3 linked regions of the Caenorhabditis elegans genome follow. The protein of the gene in region 1 purifies or fractionates together with the protein of each later gene. This does not show direct contact. Each region holds a gene or a part of one and is shown in the gene's direction. Other genes may lie near its edges.

The links.
Region 2: the proteins of epg-7 (region 1) and lgg-1 purify together in Caenorhabditis elegans (affinity purification with western blotting, with the first as the bait; 2 studies listed by BioGRID). This does not show direct contact.
Region 3: the proteins of epg-7 (region 1) and atg-9 purify together in Caenorhabditis elegans (affinity purification with western blotting, with the first as the bait; one study listed by BioGRID). This does not show direct contact.

What each region holds. Positions count from the first base shown.
Region 1 is NC_003284.9:7,332,637-7,336,394, forward strand, and holds the start of epg-7 (Autophagy-related protein 11 C-terminal domain-containing protein), read left to right. Parts: upstream 1-2,077; 5' UTR 2,078-2,142; coding exon 2,143-2,202; intron 2,203-2,250; coding exon 2,251-2,322; intron 2,323-2,371; coding exon 2,372-2,551; intron 2,552-2,598; coding exon 2,599-2,739; intron 2,740-2,841; coding exon 2,842-3,307; intron 3,308-3,362; coding exon 3,363-3,758.
Region 2 is NC_003280.10:6,346,414-6,349,589, reverse strand, and holds lgg-1 (Protein lgg-1), read left to right. Parts: upstream 1-1,870; 5' UTR 1,871-1,903; coding exon 1,904-2,191; intron 2,192-2,243; coding exon 2,244-2,327; 3' UTR 2,328-2,630; downstream 2,631-3,176. Other genes in the region: putative RING finger protein C32D5.10, read left to right, coding at 1-20. UniProt on the Caenorhabditis elegans protein: Ubiquitin-like modifier involved in the formation of autophagosomal vacuoles (autophagosomes). When lipidated mediates tethering between adjacent membranes and stimulates membrane fusion during autophagy. Recruits lipidated-lgg-2 to maturing autophagosomes.
Region 3 is NC_003283.11:347,511-351,268, forward strand, and holds the start of atg-9 (Autophagy-related protein 9), read left to right. Parts: upstream 1-1,874; coding exon 1,875-1,907; intron 1,908-1,962; coding exon 1,963-2,093; intron 2,094-2,197; coding exon 2,198-2,255; intron 2,256-2,827; coding exon 2,828-3,034; intron 3,035-3,758.

The sequences.
Region 1 (3,758 bases):
ACTTTGAAATTTTATTACAATAATTGGTATTTTTTATAATGAAAAAAGTAATTTTAAACGTTCTACCCACTGACATCAATATGATTCAAGCGCCAAGTCTTATTTTTCGTTTTTTCCGAGACCATACAGTTTTCACTTTTAACTCTTAACTCCCATTCTCACCCGGAACTGAATATAATACAAAAATAATGATTATTGATAATCATATATATATCTCTCTTATCATTTTCCCAGTGATTTTTCTGTGTTCCCGAACGCAATTATTACCTGTATCTTTCTACCCATCTGAACAAAAGAGCAAACATTGAAAGACGAGAAAAAAAAACAAAAATATTTACTGGACCGTAAGACCGAGGTCAGATAAGATACTTGAAATGTTCTTCCCAGTGTTTTTCTAAGTATGTATGTATGTGTGTATGTGAGACGGTCGGCGCCTGTACTAGTTTGTTTCTGTTTTTGTCGCATACAGTTAGATGACTCTATTCTTAATTTTGACGTTTGCATTTCTGTGCTGAACCTGTGGTGAGCCTCCATCAATGTTTAATAACTCATCGTTTTTATTTCTCAACATCATAAGTTATTTAAAATGTATGTACATGTAAAACAGTTCAGTATGATCATTATTGTTTGCGAAGTCGGTGACAGAAATCATGTGGTTTTTAAGAAAAGTAAACTGTTTTCGCTTATGTACTTGAATAGTGTTTCACATTTTGTCAGTTGTATTTCAGTTATTGTTTTTCAAAGATAATAGCATACTGTAAAAATGTAACTTTTCAAAGCATTTTTTGTTTAAAAATTTCTATAAATCGGGCTGATTTCGTCTTAAGAGTGGAGTCGCGCCTGTGTTCATTCTTAGTGTAGAAACAAACTCTAGTTTTTAAAAATTGAAGGGCGAAACACGAATACGCAGCTCAAGCTTTCATGCATTCATATGGTGCTGAAAGGACCAAATATCGTAATAAACTGTTTCAAAAAAATTGGAAATGTTTTCGTTTCTAGTAAAAAACGGTGAAAACTCAGTTCTCAACAATTTTTTAGAAGTAGGTTTTCAAGAAAATAATGCTTTAATTATGTTGAAAATGTTTATATTCCAACATTGGTGGAGTTCAAACATACCACAGTTTTGGCGAAAAATGGCACGAACTAAGATTTTACAACTTTGACACAAACGTGAAAAATTCTAAAATGTTTTGAAACGTTTTATTTAATATTTAATATTTTCCTTTTCCAATAGGCAGGTTTTTAATCAGTTCTCCAGTGGCCATACTCCATATTCAAACCTAACACTATCCGGCCAGGTGGTCCCCGTTCTCCAATCGGCTCTCATCGTAAAAGATTAACTACTAATTCTTTTTGGCCATCTGCAGTGGTCAGACCCAATTTTTCTAAAGGAATACTTTTTTTTAGAGTTCTGCATTTGTTTCTCCAACTATGTTGTAGCATGTTGAAAAATGTCAGTTATTCAGTCATGAAACCTTGAAATCGATCTCAACAGTAGTTGAATTGATGAGATCAACCCACCTACAAATGTCAATGCACTAACTTTGTACTTCGCCATAAAATTCAAAATTTTACTTTCAGTCAGTTATGAAGTGTGGCGTCTCAAATTGTTCTACTGATAGCATTTTGAAATAAAAAAATCAAGATAATCAAAACACACCTGGTCACTCTAAATACCTTTTTACACTAACAAAATCATTCTCGTCTTGATTTCAACATCGATCTCTGCCCAACTCACGGGATGAATATGAGGGCCGTGGCTATGCCTGTGTCAGTGATGTGCGTGTGAGTGTGCAACAACGCTCACTGCCAACGCAAAAGTGCGTTGTGATGCAAGAGATTTAGAGAGAACGACAAAGAGGCAAAGGGAGCGTTTTCTGCCTCGCAGAGGAGGGTCTCCGCTCACAAGTCGGCCTCGTTTCTGCCTCTGTACGTCACGTGATTTGCAGCCGCAACACCACATTTGACGCAACATCACACAGTCATTTGCCATATCGACTCTCTTGTTTTTCTGTACTCTCTCTCGCTCATTTATCTCGTTCCAGATTATTTCCCAAAGCCGCTTGTTTTTACTCGATTTCCTCGTTATACCAATTTAATTTTCGACTTTAAAGTTAAGGTTTCAAATTTTTAGATTCAAAAATGATAATGTATCATATATTCTACATGGATAGGGGCCAGGCCATGGTATTTGATTTAAATGTAAGTTTAAAAACCTGGCTATCAACTCATGAAATAGTAAACTTACAGGCAGAAACTACAACATTCAATGTACTACAGGATATGGTATCCAAGGAGGTTGGTCATCGAATCTCTGATCTGGTATGTGTTTTGTCATTTATTGAAGTCAAAACGTGTAACGGATTTGCAGACTTTTCTTGATGAAAGCGGTACTACCCCGGATGGTAACAAAAGTTTGGCAGAGATCAGTACTCTTGGCACTGAAACATCTCCAGTGTACTTTTTTCTAAAATCTGGAAACGAAAGAGAAAACCACAACGGCAGTGATGTGACGTACATTTTTCAGATGATTGACGATGCTGTTGATCAGGTTAGTTGTTTTCAAAACATTTATAAGAAAGCAATCTTGTATTCCAGGCACAATACGTTCTGAAAAATCAGGACCCTCTGAAAATCTACATGGAGCTGCCAGAACGAGCAAAAAACTGTAGAAAAGTCTGCGCAGAGACTTTGCAAATGTGTGCCAGGCTGGTCCAACAGCATAGGTTTTTACATAAGGTAGGATTTCGACAAGAATTTTAATTATCAATATTTATTTGAAAGAATCTTTACCTTTCACGATATTCCAGTTACCAAAATTTACAATGGTAATCGTTTCAGGGTTGGTTGGCGTTGATTAACAATCTGGATATATCTGTCAGCAAAATGGACAAAAGGGGAAAGAAGTTCAAATTGGTACACTCAAAAAGCGAAGAACTCATTGAAAAGTCGGACACACTCCTGTTGAACTATTCCGACGTTGTTGAACAATTACGAAGGATCGAAGTTCCTTCGGAAATTTTTGTGAAACCAGCGTCTTTGATGACTTCCACATCAACTCCAATCAATCCAGACGAAAAATGTACATTGTTTGATTTTATTGCGATGGCTGATCCAGAAGCATCTCTTGATGGTTTACCTGACTTGGTTAATGAGAAGATTCGACAGCTCAAGGAGCAAAATGCTATTAGTGTATATACGAGGCTCCAATCTGTACATGAAACGTCGAAGAATCAAGAGTATCGAGATTTCAAGGGAATTAATAAACGATTTTCTCAGCTTGAGTTTAGTTTGAAAAGCTGTGAAGGTAAGTAAAAACTAGAACTAGGCCTATAACTTAAAATAACAACATATATTTTTAGAAAGAAAAAACTTGGTTCACAAACTAGTCGCTCAAATTTTGGAAACTCCGAAAATCAATGACCAGAATAAGCTACCACCAATTATCGAAGAACACCGTCAATGCATGCTGACTATTTTCGAAAACTTTTCAGAATTTCGAAATATGGTCCGCGTTTTTGATCAGTCAAAACAGGAAATTCTAAAAAATTTGCGAACGAGAATGTCTGGATTTGTGGTTCAAAACTACGATCGATTACGCGTTGTTCTCAACGACATTGTACAGTACGAATACAAAAGCAATGCAGTTCGCATTCACATGGATCTTATTGGTCAGATTCGAGATGCACCGATTCTTTATTCACAGAGTGTTTCGGAAATTGTACGCCGCCGACTTTTGAAAACCGAACTGGAAGAAT
Region 2 (3,176 bases), on another chromosome or scaffold:
CACTTTCAAGGCGACAGTAAATCGACATTTGATCTCTGTTAAATCAATTAAAAAGGCGGATATCGACGAGTTTTCAAACTTTTTCCTAGGCATATCATAATTTTTTACAACTTTTTTACTTTTATTTTTTCTGACATTTCGATGTTTCGTAGTAGCAAGTTTCCAAATGTTCCATCCTGGGCTACAAGCGAACTTATTCGGCAATTTTTAGATTTTCGTTGTTTACGGTTCAAAGAAAAAAGCGTTTTTCATATTTTTATTGTTTCTCCATGTTAGCTATCATTTTTTATTTATTTATATTTATAGCTTTATTCTGATTATTGTACTTCTGTCCGTGTAAAACATTTCGTCACTATTGACTGTCTATAAATTTTTAACCTTTGGTTTATTGTTTGGTTATTTTTTTAATATTTTTTCTCGGTTTGCTTCCGGCAAATTTTTATCTTGTTCCTTTTTATATTTTTGCCTTTCTGATCGATTACATGGAGTGCACCCTAATGTCTTTAAGATCTTTTAATTGATTTGTTTTATATTGTCAGTTCTAGCGTTTTACCAGCTGGTCTTGAATGCCCTCTTCTAGTTCATTACATTCTACGTCACGGTGACAGCTGTGAATGTGGATGATGCTCTCATTGCTCCAACTCTTTATTTTAGAATTATGTCGCTAATGCACTTTCCACCTACATATTATTGTATGGATATAGTAGTTATATATCGTTTATTTCGTTTAGTTTTAGCATATTATGTTCCTTTAATAGCAAAACATACTCAATACCAACTGTTGTCTAGTTGTTATTCTAACCTTTTATCACTTTTGATCATTTCTAACGTTTAAAATTTCCTATCAAAAGAATCTAAGAACAAACAATCTGTCGATCGGCACCTGAAACCCCGATGATTCTACACCATGCTGCTCTACTTCTCTCAAACCATCCAATGTTTCCCTATACTCTCTTGCTCTCCTCTGCCTGCTGTCTCGTTTCGCCGCCGTATGACACAGTCACATGATGTTGAGTCGTGGTGTCTCGTCGTCTCCGCCCCTCTCTCATCTCTCTCTCTTTCTAGCTAGTGCCATTCGTCTTGGTGTGTTCAGTCTTGCCTCTCGCTCTTCTTTGCGACTTTCTGCCATTTCTTTCACTTTCTGGCGACGTCGGTAGCGACAGTACTTTTTTATTTAAAAGTTTGTAATTTTAGTTGGTTTGTTTAAAAAACCGGTTTCAAATCAAAATCTTTTTTAGATTTGAAATTTGAAATTAAGAAATGTTTCACAAGTTTGACTATTAAATGTACGGTTTAACAATTCTATCTAAAAATATTGCTAAATCATACCAAAATTATTTATTGAACGGTCATATTAATCTAGTTAATAGTTGATTACTAAAGTCTTTCAGAATTCAATTTTTTGGAACAATGCGCTAAGAATATTCGTAGAAACTGGTTATGGATACTAGTGAATATTGGATAAATGTTACTAATATATCGATCGACTTTCAGTCTTCCCAGAATTACAGTTTCCCCGACAACCTCTAAACAGCTGCATTGTACTTGTCCTGTTTCTCTGCATCTCAACAAAACCAGGCCAGACAAACATAGAAAATCAATAGGATGTCTCCTGCGTCTACGCGCTCTCATATGACCGATGTGCGCGCACACTCCCTCTCTCACTTGCACACGGGCCATTCTTGCTCATGCTCTTTTTGCCTTACTAGTACTCGTCGTCAATTTTATATAGATTTCGCAATGTGTTATCGAATCGGTCAATCTCTCAAAACCCATGTGATGTCACCTTCATTCACTCTCACTTGTTACACCTTTCTTCTCTCATGGTTCTTTTATGATTTTTCTGTGATTTAAAGTATTTTTATTCCAGTAACCTTCTCTTCACACTAACCTTCGAATCAAAATGAAGTGGGCTTACAAGGAGGAGAACAACTTTGAGAAGCGTCGTGCCGAAGGAGACAAGATCCGCAGAAAGTACCCAGACCGTATTCCAGTGATTGTTGAGAAAGCACCAAAGTCAAAGCTCCATGACTTGGATAAGAAGAAGTACTTGGTCCCATCCGATCTTACTGTTGGACAGTTCTACTTCCTCATCAGAAAACGCATCCAACTTCGTCCAGAAGATGCTCTGTTCTTCTTTGTCAACAATGTCATTCCACAAACCATGACCACAATGGGACAACTCTACCAGGTAACTAACCAGTCGTTTATTTTCATTTAATTAACCCTTTTCTTTATTACAGGACCATCACGAGGAAGACTTGTTCCTTTACATCGCCTACAGTGACGAAAGTGTGTATGGAGGAGAGGTCGAAAAGAAGGAATAAAGTGTCATGTATTATCCGCCGACGAATGTGTATACTTGTACAATGGAAATTTCATACTTCTAATGGAAACCCAAAGCCCCTTTAAAAAAATCTTCTCATTTTCTGTAATAATTCTGTATTTCCTTCACATTTTCTTCTCATTTTTCTCGTATGACGGTTCCGAGTAGTGACTTCTATTCAAACTATTGTCTACGAAGTTGCTCTTCTCCCCTCCCAGAAAATCATGTTTTCTCTCGGATTTTGATATTTTTTTGCTATTACTTTCAAATTTTTGATTCATGAATAAACGAAGAAGACACAAACAAATTCATGTTCATGCTCATCGTTATTTTCGGCCAGCGAATGGAATACCTCCAACAGTTAGCAATACACATTGCGAAATCACTTTTTCATCTGTATAGAATTGACGTCACATTTGTATTACGTAAACATCATTGTAGATTTCTGAACAAAGTATAGAGAAAAATGAGAATTTTATTTCGAAAATGGTGACACACTTTTGGCAAAAAGGCTCTTTGTATCCATTAGTCATCTGTCAAATGACAGTTTATTCTAGTTGTCATCGTCTGAAAATGTCATAAGAGGGCTCAAACGTTGACTTAGGAATCATTTTTGATTCGATTCTGGCATATTTTATCATTTTCGAGACACAATTTTGGTACTACCCATTTGCAGAAGTTTGAGATTTTCAATGCGAAAATACGGTAGCCGGTCTCGGCACGATGGAAACTTTTCAGCTACCGCACCCAAAAGTGTTTCGCAATTTTCACCTGTATCTGTTGTAATAGTTTCACTTAAAATTCCACATTTTTAAAGGAAAAACCGATACATTTTTGGAAAATTGTAGGA
Region 3 (3,758 bases), on another chromosome or scaffold:
CTCGTATGCCATCTTGATTTTTTTCTCTTTGAAAATGTGTTAATGTGCCCAAAAATGAAATTGTATTGTGTTAATGCAAGTAATATTTTATTAAATTTAATTTCAATAATAGAATAAATTTTTAGTTTTTTTTTAAATTTGTTTCCTAATGATTTTATACAAAAAAAACCTTTTCTTGTTTGGAAAAATGTTAGAAACTTTTTTTAATTGGAAATTTTAAATTTTTGTTGCGTCGGGTCTCGAAACGATAAGCAGTGCCGGCAAGAATTCCGTCATGCGCCTTTAAGATTACGGTATTTTTTGTTTTCGATTATTTTTCTTTTTTTTTATTAATTTCAACTATTTTCGGCGTTTTTTTCGCTTCTAATTCGATTTTTCTTTTATTTTTTTTATCAAAAAACTTAAAAATCAACAAAAAACCGATTTTCTGCTGAGTTTCGTTGATTTTCGTGATTTTCAAGCCTCAAAGCCCAGACTTTACAGTAAAAATCGATAAAAATTCGACAATTCTGATCCTAATCGAAATTTCAACTTCATAGTAAGACTTTCATCTGTACTTTACAACAAAAAAACCACCCTCCCGCCTCTGAAAACGATGTTCTCAGGGTCAAATCATGTGATTTTTCTGTGTCTCACTTTCTCTCTCTCGATAATAATGGTTGGGGGGGGGGGGGGGGGGGGGAGGCACGCGGCGTTAAAATGACAGTTGCTTTTATAATTTTTTTAAAAAAGCTCTTAATTTAACAAATTTTTTATAGTTTTAATTCAAAAAAAAAATCCTTTCTTTTGACAAAAAAAATAATTTTTTCATTATTTAAACAATTATAATAATAGAAAAACTAAATATTTGATTAAAAAAGCTCGCTTCATCGAATGGACAGGTGGCCTTAATCCGACATCTGGCATTTATTAATTTGTATAAATGAGCAAAAATTTTGGGTTTGTGTGGGGTTTTTCTCCAAATTTCAACGAAAATTGTAGTATTTATTTAAATTCAATAATTTAATTTTTGAAATTTCTCGAAACAAATTACTTAAATAGGCCTAGGCTTAGGTTTAAGCTTAGTCCTGGGCCGGCTCTGAGGCACAGGCTTAGGCTTAAGCTTAAGCTTATTGTTAGGCCTAGACAATTTAGATATTCCCGCGCAAATAAATGACCTATTTTTGCTATTTTTTCGATTTCCGGTTATTTTAGTTCAGTTTTTTCTCGTTTTTTTTTTTAATTTTTAAGGTAATTTTCCAATTTTTCAGACATTTTTTTCGCTAAAAAACTTTGAAAATGGCCGAAACTCAAAATTTGCTCCAGAAAATCGATAATTCAAGCATAAATTTGATATTTTTCCAGAAAAAAGTATGAAAAATTATTATTTGGCAGACTTTTTCTGTGAAAATGAACTATTTAACTGTAATTTATCGATTTTCTGGGCAATTTTAGGGTTTGAGCAAGGTTTTTTGGCAGAAAAATGACTTCAAGAATTGGAAAATTATGTTTTAAATTATTAATTAACGGAAAAATGAAGTATTTTTTAACGAAAAATTCGAAAAAAACTTTTTTTCTGTAATTTTTAAAAAAAATCAATTTTTTTGGCAATTTCTAAAATTTTATCAGTTCAATTCTCCTGTTTTCTATTACAAAACCTATTTATTTTTCTTCCCCTAACCTTCTCTCCCCTTCAAATACCAGTTCTAACAGTCACCACCCGCTGTTCACGTGCCCCCTCCCTCCCCAGCTGCCGTGTTCAATAGAGCGCGTTTGCATTTGCACCCCCCACCGCGTGAGCCCAGTCGATGAAATTGATCGATTTTTCTTCGTTTTTCTCGCGTTTTCTCGTTTTTTATTCAAATAAAATTTTTTTTCTCATTCAGACCCATCAAATGTTCAACTCACAGTCAAAACGGGCATATCAGGTAATTTTTTTTTTCGAGAAAAACTATTTTAATTGATTTTTTCTCGAAATTCCAGCAAATCGACGACGATTTTGATGATGAAGTGCTGCGTAACAGTACGTGTACGTCACGATTTATGCAAGGATGGGGCTCATCCACAAGGTCACTGCTTTTTGGAGGCGCTTCCAATGATGAACAGAGGAATTTGTGAGTTTTTACGGCGAAAAATTCGAATTTTGACCGAAAATTCGAGATTTTCATGTTTTTCTAGTGCAAAATTCGATGAAAAACACTAAAATTTAAAATTTCAGAATCGCCAGCTCCTCGTCCCATCACTCGTATCACGATTCACCTGCCGAGGAGCCACCGGTACGGATTTTGACCTGAAAATCCCCGATTTCTGCTGAAAAATTGGAAAAAAAGGCTGAAGAAACACTATTTTTTTAGCAAAAAGTCAAATTTTCGACAAAAACTGAAAAATCGAACATATTAGCGTTTTTTTTAATCGATTTTCTGGCCACTTTTTGCTAGAATCTCGTGTGTTTTCAGTGAAATTCGCTATAAAAACCGATAAAAATGTCCAGGAAACCCCCGAAAAAATATCGATTTTACAACTTTTCTGTACTTTTTGTCAAAAAAAAACCCACGAAAATGTTTTTTTTTTTTCAAGATTTTCAAAGTTTTTAGTTGAATTTGACAAAAAAACGTCCAGAAAATTGCAAAACCAACTTGAAATTGTGTTAAATTAAAAAAAAAAACCGAATATCCACCAATTTTCCCCGTTTTTAAATAACAAATGCCTCAAAAATTCGCAAAAAAACTCATTTTTATCAGATTTTCCTAGTTTTTTTTTGGTTAAAGTTCAAGAAAAAACCGATTTCCCATCAATTTTCCCCGCTTTAAAACCAAAAAATCCCTCAAAAATCCGCAATTACTTTCAGGAAACTCACTACGAACAATTCACGGCCACCCACAATCATGGTCCGCCAACAATGGCTTCATCGTCACAGCTAAACTCTCGACGATGGGACCACGTACTGAATTTAGACGAATTTTTCACGCATATCTACGAATATCATCAGAATGGCGGTTATTTGTGCATTGTTTTGCAGAAAGTGTTCAGTTTATTACAATTTATATTTGTTATGGTGAGTTTTGTGTCGAAAATCTGCCATTTTCTGGGCGTGGCGTGGCAATTTCAAAAAATTTAAACTATTTTTGACTTCCCGCGCAAATTTATTGCGTAGTTTTGGCGTTTTCCGACTAAATTTTATAATTTTTAAATATTTTTTTCATATCTTCGGCCTTTTTTCCGAAAAACTGTAAATTATTTTGAAATTATCGGTTTCTAGGTCAATTTTAAAGCTTTTTCAGGAAAATGTCTTAAAATTCCCGAAAAACGCCAAAAATGTCGATATTAAGTGACTAAATTGCGCGGGAAATCAAAAAGTCGAAAAATTTGAAATTCCGCCTTTTCTTCGCAAAAAAAGGTGAAAAACGAAGAATTCAACACATAAAACCAATAAATAGGCGGAGCTTATTTGAGAAAACTAATAATTGACAGATTTTGACTTTCCGATAACGAAAATTCAACAAAAAAAAATTAGACCAATCAGTGATTCGCTCCGCCCACTTTTCAACCAATCAGATGGAATGGGCGGAGTTCGAAGATGTTGATTGGTGGGGGACTTCTCATTTTAGAGGGAATTTTGAAAAAATTGAAAAATCTCAAAAAGATTTTTAAAGGTGGACTAACGGTTCGAACGATTTTGAACGTATAGACCCAAAATGAGCTCAAATGAACGAATTTCGTAATGAAACTGCTCAAAAATTTTTCAAAAATTTTTTATGGCGGTTCAAAATTTTGAAAAA